2 linked regions of the Mus musculus genome follow. The protein of the gene in region 2 binds, or shares a complex with, the protein of the main gene of each other region. Links are inferred from orthologs where the notes say so. Each region holds a gene or a part of one and is shown on either strand. Other genes may lie near its edges. The genes, in order: Sln and Atp2a1.

The links.
Region 1: the proteins of Atp2a1 (region 2) and Sln are in contact, whole or in part, in a crystal structure (PDB 3W5A), measured with the Oryctolagus cuniculus proteins. The link is inferred for Mus musculus from reciprocal best matches to the Homo sapiens genes ATP2A1 and SLN. Residues at the interface, in XP_069919846.1 of Oryctolagus cuniculus: Phe88, Val89, Leu96, Ala100, Ile103, Val104, Trp107, Arg110, Asn111, Asn114, Arg324, Lys328, Trp794, Leu797, Gly801, Leu802, Thr805, Ala806, Phe809, Trp932, Ser936, Leu939, Leu943, Leu946, Ile947, Val950, Pro952, Leu953, Ile956; in NP_001075856.1 of Oryctolagus cuniculus: Met1, Glu2, Arg3, Ser4, Thr5, Arg6, Glu7, Leu8, Leu10, Asn11, Phe12, Val14, Val15, Thr18, Val19, Leu21, Ile22, Trp23, Leu25, Val26, Tyr29.

Annotation. Positions count from the first base shown.
Region 1 is NC_000075.6:53,848,770-53,853,252, reverse strand, and holds the start of Sln (sarcolipin), read right to left. Parts: upstream 3,003-4,483; 5' UTR 2,927-3,002; intron 1-2,926. UniProt on the Homo sapiens protein: Reversibly inhibits the activity of ATP2A1/SERCA1 and ATP2A2/SERCA2 in sarcoplasmic reticulum by decreasing the apparent affinity of the ATPase for Ca(2+). Also inhibits the activity of ATP2A3/SERCA3.
Region 2 is NC_000073.6:126,445,976-126,449,784, reverse strand, and holds part of Atp2a1 (sarcoplasmic/endoplasmic reticulum calcium ATPase 1), read left to right. Parts: intron 1-912; coding exon 913-1,248; intron 1,249-1,402; coding exon 1,403-1,623; intron 1,624-1,721; coding exon 1,722-1,924; intron 1,925-2,097; coding exon 2,098-2,183; intron 2,184-2,268; coding exon 2,269-2,402; intron 2,403-2,530; coding exon 2,531-2,648; intron 2,649-2,796; coding exon 2,797-2,914; intron 2,915-3,198; coding exon 3,199-3,203; 3' UTR 3,204-3,240; intron 3,241-3,658; coding exon of another isoform or gene 3,659-3,684; 3' UTR 3,685-3,809. UniProt on the Homo sapiens protein: Key regulator of striated muscle performance by acting as the major Ca(2+) ATPase responsible for the reuptake of cytosolic Ca(2+) into the sarcoplasmic reticulum.

The sequences.
Region 1 (4,483 bases), on a different chromosome or scaffold from region 2:
CCTAAGAATGTGACCGGGTTTGGAGATAGGGTCTTCCAAAAAGAAAGTGAGCTAACATGAGCTCACTGTCATGGTAGCTTCAGCATCAACTTGATATAAACCTACAGTCACCTGGGAAGAAGGACCTTGTGATGGTTTGAATAGGTATGGCCCCCAGAGATTCATGTGTTTGAATGCTTGACCCATAGGGAATGACACTATTAGAAAGTATGGTCTTGTTACAAAAGGTTTGGTCTTAATAGAAGAAATGTGTCACTGTGGGGTTGGGATTTAAGGTCTCCTATGCTCAAACTATACCCAGTATGATACTGTCTCTCCTTGCTGCCTGTGGGTCGAGATGTAGAACTTTCAGCTCCCTCTCCAGCACCTTTCTACCTGCATGCTCCCATGTTTCCTGTCATGGGGATAATGAGCTAAACCTCTGGGACTGTAAGCCAGCTTCCATGAAGTGTTTTGTTTTATAAGAGAAACTAGGCTGCTTGTGTTTGCCCATACTCTTCAGAGAAACAGCTCTCTCTTCCTGCTATCATCCCAAGGCCAATATTTTTATCCTGTATTAATTGCATTGTTTTGCGTAAGAAATAAAATATTGCATTTTTCTCTCTTCATCTTCTGCACTTTTAGGTATACTTGTTAACTATGCTATTTGGAATATCTGCAATCAGGGACACCAAAACAGAAACAAACTTTATAGTTTAAGTATTGCTCTCTCTTTGGATCACATTTAGGAGTAGGATAACATCATCTTTCAGATTTAAAGCTGCCTTAGGTCTTCATCCAACCCTGCTGAAAGCATAAAGCAGCTCCAACAGCTGCATGGCTTCGTACAAGCCTCCACTGGCACAAAGCCCGCAGAGGTCAACCAGAAGTCCCTCGCACAACAGGTACTCAGTCCAAAGAACAAGTGTTAACCTCATGAGCATTTCTGTCTCAACAAGGGCTTGTGCCAGCTATTTTTAGTCAAGCTCAGGATGTGCCTAGATTGTAAACATTTCAGACAGCAGAGAGGGCATCTTCACTGTGCATACGGATTGTACATGCAGGAAAGTATCCTCCAAGAGTGCAGGCAATGCTGTCAATCAGGTTACTAATTTTGGTAAAGTTGACGCTTGGTTTATACAATCAAATTAAAATTTAAATCTTCTATGTTTTAAATGATTTAAGTGGATACTATTATTGTAGAACAAGATTGTAGCATGGAAGAAAATTTTGTTGGAAAGAATACTGGTTTGCAAAAGGTCAAAGTTCAAAGGATCAAAACTTTGTAGCAACTTTTGGCCTGACTGAATTAACTGTACCTGTTGTATTTGTTTGGTCATCAATGGACCAAATTATTAATTGCATAGATACCAGTGGAATAATCAGCTTTTATTGTGTAATTGTTAGTATAATATACAGGTTCTTACCAGATTGTGCTAATGAACACATTATAGAATCTCATTTTAAAATATAGCCAATGATGATGGAATTATGGTTCCTTCCCTTTTTATTCTTAATTTTTATTACATTCATTTATGTATGCAGCTGGTGCAGGAGACACACGTGTGTCACAGTGCACATTCAGGGATCAGAGAACAAGTTTCAGGAGTTAGTTCTCTCTTTCCTCCCAAGGCACCCAGAGATAGAACTCGGGTTATCAAGCTTGGCAGCAAGTGCAATCTTGCTAACCCCTTCCCTTTTAATTATCTCTCTTTCAGCCCTTAGCATGATGTACATTGTCAATTGCCAGTGAAAACCTTTACAAAAAACCAGCTGTCTGAGAGAGAGAATAAGCAGAAGAAAATTAGTGGGTAGCAGAAGAGAACAGAATGTTCATGAGTGTTCAGAGAGAGGAGGAAGGCTTGTTAAATGAAATGCTTACAGCAAAGGCATCCTGAATATGGACCCTCAAGACCACATATTGGAAAGCTCTGGCCACCAACAGTAGAATGGGTGCAATTGTGGCATTCACATTCATTTGAATGCCGTGGAGTGAAGAAAATATATGACCTCTAGCTACAGAGCAAGATGAAAGGATCTCACACCATACCTGTGGGATGAAAGGAGGATTTGCAGGAGGAGCTGAGAATGTGACTCCATTTACACAGAGGCAAGCACCAGGAACACAACTAAGGGTGGTAAATGTTCAAAACAAGGAAGGACAGTCAAGCTCCACACTTGGGGGCAGAAGGCAGGAGGGAAATGATTTGGAATGGACTTCTGGGGTACCGCCAACGATCTGTTTCTTGGTAAATGATAGTTATCTGGTGTTTCTTAAAATTCATGTTTCAGCTGCCTGCATCTTTTGCACTCTTCCATTTTTCCAGCCTCTCTGGCTACAGGCTGAGCACCAAACGTCTCTTTCCTCTGGCTTAACCTTTGCTCTTTCTTGTACTTTTGATGAAAACCTTAATTATTTGTTGTTTTGTATATTTTTAAATGAATAGAGCTCCAATTTGATGAGTTCCCTGTGGGTGCAGTTCTGTCAAGGTATATGGCAATTCAGTCTGGGATCTTACTTTCACACACATCCACACCCTTTGGGAAGAATGAGCAGAGTTAAGTGGCTATTCAATCACCCATGTTCTATGTCTCTGCTATGAGCCCACACACGAGCTGTGGCTTCCTCTTTTGCCTTCTCTATGAGCCAAAATGGTTGTCCTGTGCATGAACCAAAGCCTTACAAACCAGCAACAAACTGTGCAAGAAATTTGACATTGGTTTTCTTCTCAGATGTGGAAAAATTATATAAAACTAGAAAAATAGAAAATACATATCAAAGAAAAACAGGAATCAATATTCAGTTTGCAGCTTAGGAAATGCCCTATATTGTGATTACCTGTTCCACTGAGAAATATAAGCATTAGTTAACATTTTAATTTGAAAACTGCACACAGAGAGAGACAGAGACAGGAATAGATTGCTAAGTACGAAGTCTTGCTGTTACCTGAAGAGGAGCAGGGGCACACTCAGGCTACCAAGGACCTCAGTCTCTCCACCTCCAGCTGTCTCCCCGGCTGTCTGAGCTCCTGGACTCTGGGCAGGGCCTAATGTAGTCTGAGGGAAGTGACAATCACTGTGATGTCACTGGTGAGACATCTCAAAGGGACAAGCTCCAAAGGTTTCCAGCCAATTTGTACTGGGGGGGGGGGGCATAGAAATATGGTAGCAAGGGCTCTGCTCCTTTGGCTGCCAATTTAAATGAACAACACAGGGATATGAAAGCTCTTGTTTCCGGCCTACTTTTGATGTAGTGGTGTGGGATTTTAAATCCATCTTTTACCTCTTTATAAATGTCTCAATCATATGTTCAGAACATCATAAAGCAAGAGTAATAGACCAGTTTTAACAAATAGCTATCTTCACTACTCGACATGTGAAGCTATGAAAATGTGATTTCACGTCATCACCCCTATCACTAGCTGTTTGCAATGTGGAGAATTCTCTGCCTTGTTCCCACATTCCCACACCGAGCTCCAGAACCCCTTAAGTCTCCCTCAAAACTGACTTTTGTCCTAGCCATAGAAGTTATCCCCTTCCCAACCCCATCTCCTGCTTCACATCAAAGCAATGCCCAGCAAGTTCACGCGTTCAGCTGATTTCTCCTGAAACAGCCATGGGAGCCAGAGCTTGTATCCTTGTCAGTTAAACTAGCATAGCAGTAAAACAGACTGCAAAAACCCAGTCATTTGGCTAAATGGGGCTTAGAAGTTAACCTGGTCGAAACGAGTAGGAATGTGAGTTCTAGACTAGATAGAAATATCTAGGATATATCATTTTTATTTCCTTTGTGTTGTATTTTATGAATATGAATATTTTGCCTGCATGAAAGTGTATAACTGTGTGCATCACATGTGTGTACAGAAGCCTGGGAGGTTGGAGGCGTGCATTGTCCAGTCCCAGACAATTGTAAGCCACTGTGTGGGTACTAGGATTCGAACCCTAGACCAATGATGGAACACCTAGTGCTCTTAACAACTGAGTCATCTCACCAGCCCGTAGAATATATCTTAAAGGAATGAAATGGCACCATTTTCAACAACAAACACTGGCTCAAATCAGACAAGGACGAGTTTGTAACAAATCAGATTTGAGGAAGTAAGTGAAGTCTCTACCATGTTTAAGTGGATTTGAAAGCCATCAACCAAGGAATCTAAATATGACCCCAGTAACTGTACTGCTCAGTAAATCTTGTCTTTAAGAACAGTAGATTAAATCTCCCCTGACAGTCCCCACTTAGGGTCCATAAAAATAGGTCATGCCCAGAGGCAGGGGCAAACACAACTCTCTGCATGCTTGTATCCACGGTCAAGCCTTTCTCGCCATCCCTACCGCCCCAGAGGCGCCAACAAAAGGAGGATTTTCCATTCCATCTCTTTATTTCAACATGAGCCCTTCGAAGGGTGGTCTAATTACAACATTCTGTCACCACTTGTCTTGTAAAACGATAGCTTGCTGAAGTGACAGATAGAGAATATTAATTATAGCACAATCGAACGTTGGC
Region 2 (3,809 bases):
TGGGGCTGGAACCCAGGGCAGGCAGGTGTGCTCCGTCCCAGCCGCACCTGCAGCCACAGTCTGCATTAACCGTGCTCTGTGGGAATCACTGTCACCCGGTGCAGTGTCTGAGACAACTGATGCACTTCTTGCTGTGGACTCTGAATAACCCCCAAAGCTCACTGCCTGCATTTATAGGAGATTATGGCCTGCCAGGTAACAGGGTGTGCTCAGAGTGACTGGCCAACAAGGGCTCTGCTAGGAGACACAAGCCACTGTGTTAATATGTAGCTTTTCTTTTTCTATTTTTTCTTTGTTTTGGTTTTTGCTGTGGTTGTTTTTCAGATAGAGTTTTGTAATGTAGCCAGGGCTGGCCCTGATCGTGAATTCATGATGCAGCCAGGGCTGGCCCTCCCTGGTCAGGAATTCATGAATTCCTCTTGACCTCCTGGGTGCTGGAACCTCAGGTGTACCCACCACACCCAGATCCAGCTCTCCTTTTTTAAATCAGTCAGTCAGTCAGTCAGTCAGTCTGTTTTTTTTTTTTTTTTTTTTTTTTTGAGATAGGGTTTCTCTGTATAACAGCTCTGGCTGTCCAGAAACTCACTTTGTAGATCAGGCTGGCCTCGGATTCACAGAGATCTACCTGCCTATGCCTCCCAAGTGCTGGGATCAGAGGTGTGTGCCATCACTTTCTGACTCGGCAGGCTTTTTGCAGCAGGCCTTGGCACTGCCAGTCTATGCAGGGCAGGCATTATAAGGATTGCAGGAATTATGTTTTCTGGCCCTGTGCTTCCAAGGTCCTACTGATGTCCAACACCAGGTACCAAGGCAGCAGGCCCCAGCGTCACCAACAGTACTGCCCATCTTCCTCTGAACTTCCTCCTGTCTGTCCCAAATTCCTCCCTGACCAACATGTCACCATCTTTCCAGATGGACCTGACGTTTGTTGGTGTTGTGGGCATGTTGGATCCACCCCGCAAGGAGGTCACAGGCTCTATCCAGCTGTGTCGTGATGCTGGGATCCGAGTGATCATGATCACTGGGGACAACAAGGGTACAGCCATTGCCATCTGCCGACGAATTGGCATCTTTTCGGAGAATGAGGAAGTGACAGACCGTGCCTACACTGGCCGTGAGTTTGACGATCTGCCCCTGGCCGAGCAGCGGGAGGCCTGCAGACGCGCCTGCTGCTTTGCTCGTGTGGAGCCCTCACACAAGTCCAAGATTGTGGAGTACCTGCAGTCCTACGATGAGATCACAGCCATGGTGAGAAGTCGCAGAGGGCTGCCCGGGTCAAGGCTCTGAGTGTCCCCACGCATGCTGGGTGTGTGTGTGGGGGGAGACTCTGCATGGAGTCTGAGGAGGGGAAATAGAAGGCATCTGGAACCTGGAGTTTCTCACTCTCTCCTTCCGTCTTCAGACAGGGGATGGTGTCAATGATGCCCCTGCTCTGAAGAAGGCCGAGATTGGCATTGCCATGGGATCTGGTACTGCTGTGGCTAAGACGGCCTCTGAAATGGTACTGGCCGATGATAACTTCTCCACCATCGTGGCTGCCGTGGAGGAAGGCCGCGCCATCTACAACAACATGAAGCAGTTCATCCGCTACCTCATCTCCTCCAATGTGGGCGAGGTGGTCTGGTGAGCAGCCAGAAGAAAAAAAAACCAACAACCCAGGGCTGAGGGGGTTGATCATGGGACTTGAAACAAATGAATGCATGACTTTCTTCCTCTGCCAGTATCTTCTTGACAGCAGCCTTGGGGCTGCCTGAGGCTCTGATCCCTGTGCAGCTGCTCTGGGTGAACTTGGTGACTGATGGGCTCCCGGCTACTGCCCTGGGATTCAACCCACCTGACCTGGACATCATGGACCGCCCCCCCAGGAGTCCCAAGGAGCCTCTTATCAGTGGCTGGCTCTTTTTCCGCTACATGGCAATTGGGGGTAAGCAAGAAGGGACTCAACCACCTTTCCCAGCCTTTGGGACCAACCTCGTCCCTGATACCAGCTTTTCCCAATTCAAGCTGCCCAAAGCCAGCTGTCTCCAGCTGTGTGAGGTCTTCCTGATACTTAACTCATCAGCCCTGACCCCAGCTCCTCTCTTCTCCCCACCACAGGCTATGTGGGTGCAGCCACTGTAGGAGCAGCTGCCTGGTGGTTTTTGTATGCAGAGGACGGGCCTCATGTCAGCTACCATCAGCTGGTAGGAAGGAGGCTGGGGAGGTGGGCCCTGAGAGGGTGTGCCGAAGGCTTCTGTGGAGCTCAGGCTTCTGTCTCTTCCTTCATAGACTCATTTCATGCAGTGCACTGAGCACAACCCTGAATTCGATGGCCTGGACTGTGAGGTCTTTGAGGCCCCCGAGCCCATGACCATGGCCTTGTCTGTGTTGGTGACCATCGAGATGTGCAATGCTCTCAACAGGTAGGCCTTGTCCACTTGGGTGGGCCCTGTGCCTTCATGTTCTCCCCGCCTCTCTTCTCCCTCCACTCTGCCTTACCACATCTTTCTCTGTATCCCTGTCTCTCCATCTGCCTGGCCTTTTGTTCTAGCCTGTCTGAGAACCAGTCCCTACTGCGGATGCCACCCTGGGTGAACATCTGGCTGCTGGGTTCCATCTGCCTGTCCATGTCCCTCCACTTCCTCATCCTCTATGTCGACCCCCTGCCGGTGAGCTGTCACCTCTCTGCCCCGGGGGAGCCCATGCAGAGCATGTGTCCACAGGGTGCTCACAGGGCGTGGTATTTTATGCCACCCTGGCCCCCTTTCCTTCTGAGGAAGCACTTGTCATTCCTGATGCCTGCTGTCCTCTTCCCAGATGATCTTCAAGCTCCGGGCCCTGGACTTTACCCAGTGGCTCATGGTCCTCAAGATCTCACTGCCAGTCATCGGGCTGGATGAGCTTCTCAAGTTCATTGCTCGGAACTATCTGGAGGGTAAGGGACATCCCTTTTTCCTTGTACCCAGTCCTGAGCAGAGCCCCTGCCCTCTGCGCTGCGAACACGCGCCATAAGTCATCTATCCCCCTCTTCCTTTGTAGGTAGGTAGGTAAGTTCTTTTTAGCCCTGGTGGGACCAGTGTCCCCCAGGGAGGGCAACCCAAGCCCTGTCCCCACTCCAGCTATGACTGGTGGGATTTTCTCCCAACCTGCTCAGCCCCCTGGCTCCGAGGGCCTCCTTCCCTCTTGATAACGGCCTCTCTCTGTCCTCTCTGGCCATAGGATAACCACCCCCCTCCTCCATGTCTTTGAACCGTGTCACAGGTATTTCCCTACCCGCCCTGCCCCAGCTGCTGTACCCTGCCGCTCGCCCACCACCAGCCCATGCGCACCCCTGCGGTCACTTGCGCGCGCTCGCAGCTCTCCCTGGAGCCACTGCTGCTGTTGCCACTGCCCGCTTCCACATGAGGGCCATGCCGTTACTGTGGGCACTGGCAGCTGTGAGGCTGTGTCCTGGCCGTCCAGTCTGCTGGGCTGGGATGCGCTGCGCTGCGTCGCGCTGGCTGTCTCTGCTGCTGGGGCTGCGGTGGTGGCTGGGGGGCGGGTTGGGGTCTGGCACATCACAGGTGAGTAGGGAAAGGGGCCCTTAGGCCCCTCCAGGTGAGTGTGCAGGAGATGCGCAAGGAGATACAGCTCTCCCTCCTGTGCCCGCCTGCTCCATCCCCTGCCTTTCTTCTTCCAGATCCAGAAGACGAAAGAAGGAAGTAACCAGCCCTTGTGCCCTGTGTTCCCCACCCCAATAGCCATGCATCTTCAGCCAAAGCTGAGGCACTGACCCTTCTTCCCCCTCAATTCTGTTTATAAATAAAGTCCTCCACCCTCGTCCCCTTCAG